3 linked regions of the Tribolium castaneum genome follow. The protein of the gene in region 1 interacts with the protein of each later gene in a pairwise test. Links are inferred from orthologs where the notes say so. Each region holds a gene or a part of one and is shown on either strand. Other genes may lie near its edges. The genes, in order: sina, Rsph3 and rin.

Region 1 (2,507 bases):
ACACAGTAGACTACTATTGTACGAGTGCATAAAAATCGATTTCATGTTTAAAACTACCACTTCAGACTAATGAATAATGAAGCTTTAAAGACTAAGGAAAAGGCTGACGACGCTGACACTGCTTGCATTAGAAATTGCTTTTCCCCTGAGAGCTATTTTTTAGCTTACTTTATTCTTTTTCCGAACGACTTGCACAGCATTATCAAAAACGGGCGCATTAGCGTATCCTTCCGAAATTTTTTAACTTTATATTTTTCAAAAAAAAAGTATTTTTAGTTACGAATATTTTTCTCAGCCCTATCAAAGGTTGTTTCACATGGTTTGCATGGCTGCACATGTTTTATGTGACTCAAAGATCGGTTATTGTTACTACTTATTATCTCATCATCACGATAAGATTTTTATTGCGATAAAAATCATTACTCCTTTAGGTACATTTTCCCCTATAGTGTAGGCAACCGTTGATTCTCGTGTAAACTCAACGTAATTGTAAGAGATGGCGCTTTAAAAGTGTGCACCGAGCGCCACACCTCTTCGGTGTTTTACCGAATCGAAGGGCTAGGGTTTGAAATAAACTTCAGTTTTAGAAAGTTAAACAAAATTTATTGCGTATTTTACATTAAGCGAAGCAGAAATAATCGAACATATAAACTACAAGTAGTTGAATAGTCATTAAATAAATAGTGCCCATTATTACAATGTACAAGGACAAATTTATCATCTAACATAACAACTATAACGACTTATGACAACTTAAGCTAAAACCCATAAGCAAACGAATTCCACAAATTGAACACACGTAAATTAATCTTACAAGAGGTGGGTTTTTTACACTAAATATTAGATAACAAAATGTGGAAAGTAATGTACATAAAACCTGCACTAGTTTCAAAACGGTTATAGCAAAGTGGGTATTAGAAGAAATATGTTTATCACAATTTATTAGTTGGGCTGACCTGCAACGTAACACATTCGACCTTACCTTTTGTGTATCACTGTGAGGTAATAAATTATTGGACTACAGTAGTTTTTTGATTAAGTTTATTCGCAACGAAACGAAAAATCCATTAAACACAGCAATATGTAAGTATATATCATAAAACAATGCCATTTCGAAGCAGTTGATCAAAAAAGTAAACTCAAAGTAAAGTCTCAAAACAAAATCTTGTCACACAAACTAAACGAACAAAAGTTTTAAATGAACAATAATGTATAGGATATGTATATATTAACTTTACATGCTAATTAATCATCGAAAAATAATCGAACTGAAGGCTCAACATACTAGAGAAATGGTAACATTAATACCCAAATTTCCGTTGTCAGCAAAGTGTTGGGCTATAGAATTATCAAACGCTAAACAATCGGAGGCCATAATGGCCGAAGCGACCCCCTCATGGCTGGACCTCGGCATGGCTTCCCAGATCAGACGTCGCCTGTTTCCGTTAAGCTCCAGTCTAAATAAAAAAACACTGTGAATACTAAAGAACAAAACGCTGGGACTGACCTATAGGCGAAATGTTCGGCCTGTTTGCGCGAGCCGATCAACTGAACGATTGCAAAGAATTGGGTATGACCATCATTCTTCTCTTGTTTTTCCAACACTAGCATAAAATGATGACCGAAACAACTCTGCATCATCACCCAATCGACAGCACCGGCCAAGTTGATCTCAGTGGCCAGGAAAACGATGTCCTCGCCGTTGAGCGTTGTTATGTTTTTATGGGAATGTTGCAGATGTACCATTACTTTATCTAACTGACCCTGCGCCCCAAACATTTTTTTACTACGCACTGCCACGTGCACCCACACCGAGGCAAAAGTCACTCTTAAAAAGGTGCACACCTTGTTAATGTCACGAATGTGTCTAGTTGACGAGTAATCCAAAATTACGTCAGTTCCGAGATTATTATTACCACTGATAAGTATAAATATATTTTATTTAAGTTAATTTGACTAAAACCTTGCACATGATGCTATGAACGCTCCGGAACTCCTAAAGCCCTTAGCGCCGATTTATCCACCAGTTTATATGAAAACGCTTGTTTTCGGCAATTTCTTGCTAAAAAACGCGAAAATTGATCGTGAAAGACTGAAATCAGCTTATTTTGACCGAAAACGCTTATATGAATTGGTCTTAGACGATCCCGTGCTAAAAAACCCAAAACTCACTGAAGATTTTAAAGAATTTTAGAGCCGACTGCGAAAAAATGTAATATATACATAATATTATTGAACCTCCTTACCGTCTATATCAGTTTTTTAATGTAAAACACTGAAATTCATTAAAAAATCAAAACTTGTAGTTTGACAATACCGTGTATTATTTCCTAGGAAATCGAAACTATAATTATTAATTAGATTTCAAAAATAATTCATTTTATTGTTGATCAAATTCTATGCGATCAGGATTGTTCGACAATGACTAACACGTATCATTTATTTAAAATTCCATATTTATATCAATAACTTCAATATCTACATAGATTTTTTTTCTATATGTAAGC
Region 2 (4,105 bases), on another chromosome or scaffold:
TAAACTGATAAAGCCTGGACAGCATCGAAGGGACAACTCTGCTTATGATACTGTTTTCCAAGCAGATTTTTTAAAAAGATGGGCAGAATGTTCATCATATTTATGACATATTAGAAAAATACTGTTAACGGCAGCTAATTTTGCACCAACTTAAGATTGTTGCTGTTCTGTTTGATTTAAGAAAGTTTATATCATTTTTGTTTGTTAAGGAAGTAAAATTAGTATGCCTGTAACTGTGTCACCCGATGAATGTTTGATCTAGACAATTCTAAAAAATGAATCGATCCTTGGGGGTAATACACTTCATTGGATTCAGGTTAAAGACCAATTTTCTAGTTAACACTTTTTGAACATAACAAGGAAAAAAATAACGGAGCCTGAAGTAACCATACACATAGTTTACAAAGTAAAAACACAGATAAATAATTACTAATAATAAATTTTTAAAATTTCATTTTTCACACGTGGCGATTCGTCTAATGAAAACAATCGTTTTGTAAATTACTTAATTATCGATTATGTATCAGCTACTTATCTATTAATATGATGATTGACCCAAAAGTGCACAATAGCTGATAACATTAATGATAACATTCAATAAATCAATCATAATTCAATTTAGAGGAATAGGTAGGTATGAACTCATAAAGCTGCAACTGCGAAAAATTAATACAATACAATTACAATTACAATAATTCTTTTTATTTATTAACAAAAATGTTGAAGGACAAAGAGAGTAATTTAAAATGAGCAATCCCTTTTCTAAGTTTAGCCCACCTAAATCCGGTCATTAATTTTTATCGCTTTTTATGACCTCAGAAGCCGAGGGTACTTCACCCTTGACCGTGAGCTGAAACAACCAACCATTGTGATGGCGTTCGCCGATGACCGACAGATATGCTAATACCTTTACTGCGGACATTTTGAAAGTCACGACATGCTACCAATAAGACGCTTGTTTTATTTCCAACATTCCGTTTTTAATTGCTGTTGGAACAACATAAAGAATGTCCGTCTGTGTTGAAAAGATTATCGGAGAGTTCAACGAAACTACAAGGACGAATCAGTTTGGAAAATTGTTTTTGAGTTATAGGAATTGCAAGTTTTGTTAGTTTTATTAACAATTGATTAAGAATGTTTTGCTAATTTGTGGTATGAAAATCAATAGCGGCTATAGTTGTAAGAACCTTCTTCAGCAAGCCGCCCCCAGTAGCCATGCGCCGCCACCTCTTCAAACCGCCTTCGAATGGACAACGGTCAGTTGTGAAAGACCGGTCAATCGTAACATATGTCGGCGTCGCGACGCCGATCCGAAAGACCGACGAAATAATGTGATAGTTAAAAGTGAGCTTTTCCACACAAAAAGTGAAAACCCAATATCGATACTAAAGAAAATTATTTTTGGAGTAGCTAGAACCGAATAATAGATGATAGAAAGTTTATTTTTAGTCCAACTTTTTCAATAATTAATTATAGGCAATATAATCGAATATAAGCAATAAGTAGATTAGAATTTCTGGAATTGGAAGGCTGAAAAAGAGACTGTCAAGATGTTTTATTGAAATTGTTACCGATGACCGACTTAGCGATGCCTCCGGTAGTTTCGATTTCTTCGGACGAAGTCGACGATGATGTGGCCTTTAAAGTCCTCAACCAAGACAACCTCCCCATAACCATAATAGGGGAGGCAATTCTGAAACCCTTCGGCCGCGAAAACCAAAAACAGAAACCGAACGGAATCGTCTATCCAACTCGACGCATTGACACCAACTTGGAAGAAAACAAACAGAAAACCTTTACCAGATCAAACGGCCACATCAACACCACTCAAGACAAAAACAACTACAACCTCAAGAAGAACTTTAGCAATTCCCACGGGAATTTAACGAGCGCTACAAAAATCAAACCGCAAGAACAAGTCGATACAAAATTCACCAAAACGCTCGACGCTAAACTGCGAAAGCTCCAGAAAGAGTCGAAAAGTAAGAATGATAATGGCAGGAAGCCGTTTGTTACGACGGTAAAGAAGGGGCAGTTTCTGGAGCCGCCCCCGGAAATAGCCACTTTGATTGGCATTAAAGTGGAGGAACCGAAGCAGAAAGAAATTAAAAAGTTGTACGCGTATGCAAGCGAGCCGAGGGTGTTGAACAGAACACCGGCGAAGAACGTTCACAAGGCGAAATGTGAGGCGGCGGCGAAGGCGGCGGCGTGCGTGGTTGCCGGGGTGGCGGGGATTCAAACCGATCTAGATGTTAACAGTAATGTCAACAAACGAGCTTTGTAAGTTCTGGGAAATAATTGCGGTACAGACACGTGTTTCCAAATTTATCACAATGTGCACGCACTTAGATATTTTTCAGCTTTTTAATAATTTTTTTACACTGAAATACAAACATAACAGCTGCTTATTGAACATTAGATATCAAATTGACAAAAAAATAATTAGATTAACTATTCTCCAACTGTGGGTTTTTATTTACCCGGCGCCTCCACCATTTTTAACCAACTCTTCGAACTTTAAATTAGAAAACTGTTTCTTTTTTATTTTCTGCAAGCATTTTAAATTAAAATGAGGTTAGAGAATAAATTACTTAAGGTGTACTACTTGTATAAATTAGAATAACGTACTGACAGGTATGCAAAATATAGTCGAAATTATTACCGCTTATTCGAAATTGCATGAAGCTACAGCGCACTATTTAAAAAATAAAAAGTCTTGAACCCGTTTTCGTGTTAGCAGACTATTGACCCTTAGATTTTGTTTCACCAAACTTTACTTTACACATTCACGAATACCAAATCCTCATTTGAAATAAAAGTCGGATTGACCCGATTTCAGCTAAATAATGTAAAATGTGGCTGTCTATTTGAAAACAGGAAATGGCACTAGGCCGAAGTGTTATCCCGTATTTTCCTCTACAATTTCTCATGAATAATAAATGAGCTGATTGTATAGTTTCCCCTTCAATGTAATAAGGGTTTTTGCAGACTGACGTAAAGTTTTAAAGTTTCATTCAAGGTAAACGTAGATCTGGGTTATGATTATTTTATGACAAAATATCGATTAGTTCACTGTACTCTACATTTTTATTATATTTTTAAAAAGCCAAAACTGCACGTGAGTGGAACTTTCTATAATTAAATTGCCACTCAAGTTTATTAGATTTACACTTCAAAGAGAAATAGCATTGTTTTATCCCTAAACTGAATTATCTTCTTGTCTCCAGCGTTTAATTTAAAATAATTTATTGAAGAAATGTGCGTGCCATGATTAAAAAATGAGCGGTACAGTCATGCCAGAATGTGCTTAATATGTTAAAAACACATTTGACTTTACAAGGTGTTGAAATATTCTTACAATTTATAGTTTTTGCCAACGTGATAACCTATTTGCAATTATATTACGAATACACTTGACCATTATTATTGATGTAGACTTGTAAAAAGCAAATTTTTTATGTTATTGTTAATTAGAAAAATTTCGACATATTTCCTTTCTTCCTAAACTTATTAGCAAACGTGAATTGGTAAAAACAAAGAACTCGGCATACTATTGTGCAAAGAAATAAACTGAAAAATTAGAATCTTATTAGGTGATAGTTCATTAGACTCACTAGTCAATACACTGGTAGTTACAAGCTATTTATAGTAACTTCTCTTATGAAATTATAATGCAACCATTAGTCGAAAATTCAATAAGGTGTATTAGTTTTATCTTTCAGCGTAAAATAAAAATGTTCTAATTTTAAAGTAGGATTCGAACTTTCGTTCGCGTCAGTGAAAGTAGCAGGATATAAGCAGTCATGGCCGAGCGGTTAAGGCGTCTGACTAGAAATCAGATTCCCTCTGGGAGCGTAGGTTCGAATCCTACTGACTGCGAAACATTTTTTTTTGTATTATTAGAATATTACAGATACTTTAGTGCATTTAATAATAGAACAAGCTCCACCTCGTTAATGCTATTACGCTAATCTCCAATCTTTAATCAAGATCGATGCTATTTTTGGCGAAATTATGAGTGGGAAATCCGGATAATCAGTAATCAGAATCGATTACCTGCTAGTTACTTATGTAGATTAGGAACAGTTCAAGGCAATCTCATTAA
Region 3 (4,250 bases), on another chromosome or scaffold:
GAAGGACCTGTCCTTGGCCCGCGGCGTTGACATGGGGCACCGGTCCGGGCATCACGTTGATATCGTCAGGATGCACGGCTCCGTTGACCTGGGGCACCGCCGGAGGGGCTAGAACATGCGGGGGCTGGTGGTGGGGCACCGGCGCAATGTTAGTCGGGTTGTAGTAATTCATGGGGGCTTGGTTCATCTGCTGGACGTCGTTCAAAACCGGGCACTCTTGCGAAGTCTCGTCTTCCGGTTCGGAGCGGTTTTCCGGTTCGCATTCCTCGTCGGAGATGATCTCGTCCTGGTATCTGAAGATGTCATTATGAACGTAGTACTTTTTGGGACTTTGGGCGGCCAATACGAAGGTTTGAGTGAAACGGCGCATCGGCTGACCGGCGTTGGATAACTCGCCGGTCACCTGGACGACGACACCGCTGCCGAGAGTGGCTTGGGAGTCGACTTGGGTGATCTTAGCGTGACAGTCGTGGAAATTCAGCTGCTGGATTTTTTGGTGGATTTGTTTCTGGCCGATGACAGGGCTGGTCTCCCGGTTTGGAGGGTCCAAACCGCCATGGATGAAAGAGGAGTTTTGGTTGTAAAATCTGAGAAATCACAAATTATGTACCTTTCTCGTAGCGTCTTGATCGACGTTTTGTTACGTTAGACAAATTTGTTAAAATAAATACAGAGGAAACTTTATCAGTTCCTGATGGTAGTGTCGTAATACTTCAGAAAAAATCAAAATACATTAAGAAGCTAAGACGATTGTAAATACTTTACATAAAAACCCAAATTACAGCAACTGGGTCACGATAGATGGCTTTTTGTTTCCCACGAATATGTTTAAATCTTTTAAGTCAGATAGCTTCAATTGAGACATTACACTAAGAGCAGTAAAAAGCACTTGCAAGAACAATGATTCCGAATTATTGATGCAGAAAGTAGTTTACCTTCTTCTACACAATTTGTTTTAATTTAATTTGAAGTAAAAAATTATTAAATAACGTCAATAAATACTCTGTCTTAATCTTTTGCAAAAAAGATAATTCTGTTTTAGCTAAACCCTGTGTAAGGTTAGGACAGCTACTACGAGTTTGTGTAATGTGTACCCTTGACATTTCATTTTTGAAAAAAATCTTAGGTAATACTCCCCTGACCTTACCTTAAGGTTTGATAAGAAAAGTCTTCTGAAAAACTGAATGAAAGCCAAAGCTTTCAAAAGTATAATTCGATAGAATTCCAGAATATAATTACGACTTCTTTCTCTAAACCGACCCATAAATTAATATGTAAATACTCGCAAATACAATCGAAACCAAAATCTTGTGAACTGTGAAGGATTCGTTTAGTTTATTGATCCGTAAACGCTCTTATAAAACACGTAAAAATATTTCAAATCGATGCTAATAAATCATATTTATTTTAATTTAACTAAAAAATAGTTCAATGAGTATTATTATACCTATAAGCATTTTTTGTTATTTTGGTTTGTAGAATGCTCGTAATAGTTGTTTTCACGTGTGTGATGTAATATGGTTTAAAGGTCATTCTTGTAAAAATGCCTCACCTCGAATTGAAGCTTTGGGAAATGAATTATCCATGCTTCAATTAAGTTTTTTCAAAATAAATAAATAAATCATAGTCACTGCTGTGCAATTAAAATTAATCTAATTAGTGTATTGATAAAACAGTAGGTATCTTACCTTCGTAACCTTGTTCAAAATAAAAATTCACTAGTTAACGCATTGCAAGGACACTTTCTGTAACTATCACACCGAGAAAAATTAAGCAGAATTTAGGAATACAACTAAAATATCTGTACGGTTTTCTCTACAAACGAAACTCAAATTGATTTTGGTAAACAAATTAATATTTTTTGTGATGTTGATAGCGATTTTTTTACAAAAGTTCAATGACCGTTCCTCCAACTCGACGCCTATGAACAATTGGCCAATAAAACTATAAGAAATAAACATATTGATATGGAATTCGTAATGCAGCATGGGCGTGCATCCACATTTATTGTTGTTAAATAAATCGCCACATATTACACCTCATAGACTGTTACAAAACATCAAACAGAAATAAATATTATAGCGAATTTCATTTGAAAATCCTACCTATCGCTCAACACTTGGTAAAAATTTGCATATTTGAAACAATTAACACAGGTGATAAATATGTTTGGCTGATTTTTGGGTGTAAAAATGTGCTTACCGGTGTAGATGGGCAGGGGCCTTGTTCAGCAAAGTGTAGTATTGTCGAACGAATTCCCTTCCTACACTTTGGGGAGATGGGGGAGCCTCCATTACCATTCCTGAAGAGTTATTTACAACTTGAGAAAACGTGCACCAGCAAAGAAGCCTGAAAACGGCAAAACTACCAGCACGCCTTAGGAAATAATCCCAATAATTCGGAGGAAAAAAATGTTAAAATGTGATAGACAAAGGGATTCCATAATTATTGCACACATGGAATGCAGATAACGAAATTTTCACCGAATCAAGCCTTGAGGCCAGTCCGGGCTTCGAATTTCCTTCCATCGAGGCGTTAGAAGGGAAATTCGGGGGCCAAGAAGTAAACAAATAGTCAGGATAGGGTGAAATAACCGCAAATTCTGCACGGCGAGAAAATGGATCATTGTCCATGTCGAATCCAGGAAAACCCGGTATGTGATAATGAACCAAAAAGGGGGAAGAAAGTCGCGCTTTCATTCACTTACCTCTAGATAGTCGGCGAAGCGAGCTAAGGAAGTATTTTCGGTTAAATTTAATTATTAACACGGTAGAAATGTGATTGAAATGCACAAACGCCGCAAAACCACGGGTGTAAACTTCATAAATTGCCAATTTAGTTACGATTTTGGACACCTTAGCCGACAGCGCCACTCAAGGACGTTTTTTAATCTAGAACCCAGGATTTCTTCTATCAATACGCATGCACAAACGGAAGTACCCTGTATTGATTTGGCGCCAAACTTAAAATTTACAGAAAATGGAGGGATTCACATGCACCATTTCGTCGCTTATGCTGTTGGCTTGCACCTTTAGAACTATTAAACACATGAAGGGTGGCGGAAGAAAATCAACAGTTTCAGTAAAAATGTACTCTATTTATTTCCAAATTTTATTAGACCACAACGGCGAACTGTCACAATAGAAATTAAAAAACTTTAAATTAATCAGGACACACATTATAATACATGTAGAGGATATACCTGAATGATGATAAATTATGTACACAAATTTTTTATTATTAAATTGTCATACAGTGGAGGAAGTACATGATGCCCCCCTACACAGATTACATAAACTTACTCTAAAATTACACTATCACTTAAGTTAACGTAATACAATGAAAAACCGGCTTGGCATTCCTGACGTTTAAAAAAAATAAACGGCTTTTTTATGCTTTATAGAAACTTAAATGTTCTGTACAAATTCGATACGAAAAATTGACAGATGAGAAGTGGAATGATCATATTCAAATCATCAATCGAAATATCAAATAAAAAAAGTAACTGAGAAACATCTATAAAAAAAGTAGATGATCAAACAGGCTATCAGTCAGACCAACTCACATACCAAAATGTGTACTACAACTAAATCTAATAGGGTTGATGCCTTTGGTTACGGCCGCCACCGCCGCCACCACCTCCTCGTTGTTTACCACCCTGATAACCCCCGGAGCCACCTGAAAAGAACAAGCAGTATAAAAATTTAATTAGTGATAAATCCTACTCACTAATAAAACTCAAAATATTCTCGCCACCTGCGTTGTTTGTTTGCCAGTTTGTTCTTCAAAATACTTTTTATAAATACTCATTTTTTTAAAAGATATAATCACTTCATTTTTATTTAAATTAGAATGCTGCAACCCTACAATGGTCATTTACTAATTTTTTAAAGATTAGTACGTGACGCAGTGAAAAAATACACGATGGTCTTACTGATTTTTTTTTGGGTAAACGCAGGTTACGACTATTGCTACATTAAAACAAATTTGTTTACTAAAAAATCTAATTTGAATTTGAAACAACACACAGTAACAATAAATGTAACATGATCAGTATGTACCTTTTCCGCGCGCACCACTGCGACCACCACCATATCCTCCGTCATAGTTACCATATCCATAGTCTGCATTCACGTAAACAAAAAAATATCAGTTAACTGTTTTCTACTATAAGCAAAACCAAAGAAAATTACGGACATGTTTTCCTTCACTACATTGTCTAATAATTTTGTGTTGTGTTGCAGCTTCAA

The links.
Region 2: the proteins of sina (region 1) and Rsph3 interact in a two-hybrid assay, tested with the Drosophila melanogaster proteins (2 studies listed by BioGRID). The link is inferred for Tribolium castaneum from reciprocal best matches to the Drosophila melanogaster genes sina and Rsph3.
Region 3: the proteins of sina (region 1) and rin interact in a two-hybrid assay, tested with the Drosophila melanogaster proteins (2 studies listed by BioGRID). The link is inferred for Tribolium castaneum from reciprocal best matches to the Drosophila melanogaster genes sina and rin.

Annotation. Positions count from the first base shown.
Region 1 is NC_087403.1:8,292,036-8,294,542, forward strand, and holds the end of sina (E3 ubiquitin-protein ligase Siah1), read right to left. Parts: intron 1,765-2,507; coding exon 1,508-1,764; intron 1,458-1,507; coding exon 1,277-1,457; 3' UTR 582-1,276; downstream 1-581. UniProt on the Drosophila melanogaster protein: E3 ubiquitin-protein ligase that is required for specification of R7 photoreceptor cell fate in the eye by mediating the ubiquitination and subsequent proteasomal degradation of Tramtrack (ttk).
Region 2 is NC_087398.1:5,701,398-5,705,502, reverse strand, and holds the start of Rsph3 (radial spoke head protein 3 homolog), read left to right. Parts: upstream 1-1,255; 5' UTR 1,256-1,573; coding exon 1,574-2,280; intron 2,281-3,797; exon of another isoform or gene 3,798-3,879; intron 3,880-4,105.
Region 3 is NC_087397.1:6,619,670-6,623,919, forward strand, and holds the start of rin (ras GTPase-activating protein-binding protein 2), read right to left. Parts: upstream 2,868-4,250; 5' UTR 2,708-2,867; intron 2,365-2,707; exon of another isoform or gene 2,350-2,364; 5' UTR 2,301-2,349; coding exon 2,203-2,300; intron 588-2,202; coding exon 1-587. Other genes in the region: sqd (RNA-binding protein squid), read right to left, coding at 3,593-3,678, 4,062-4,124.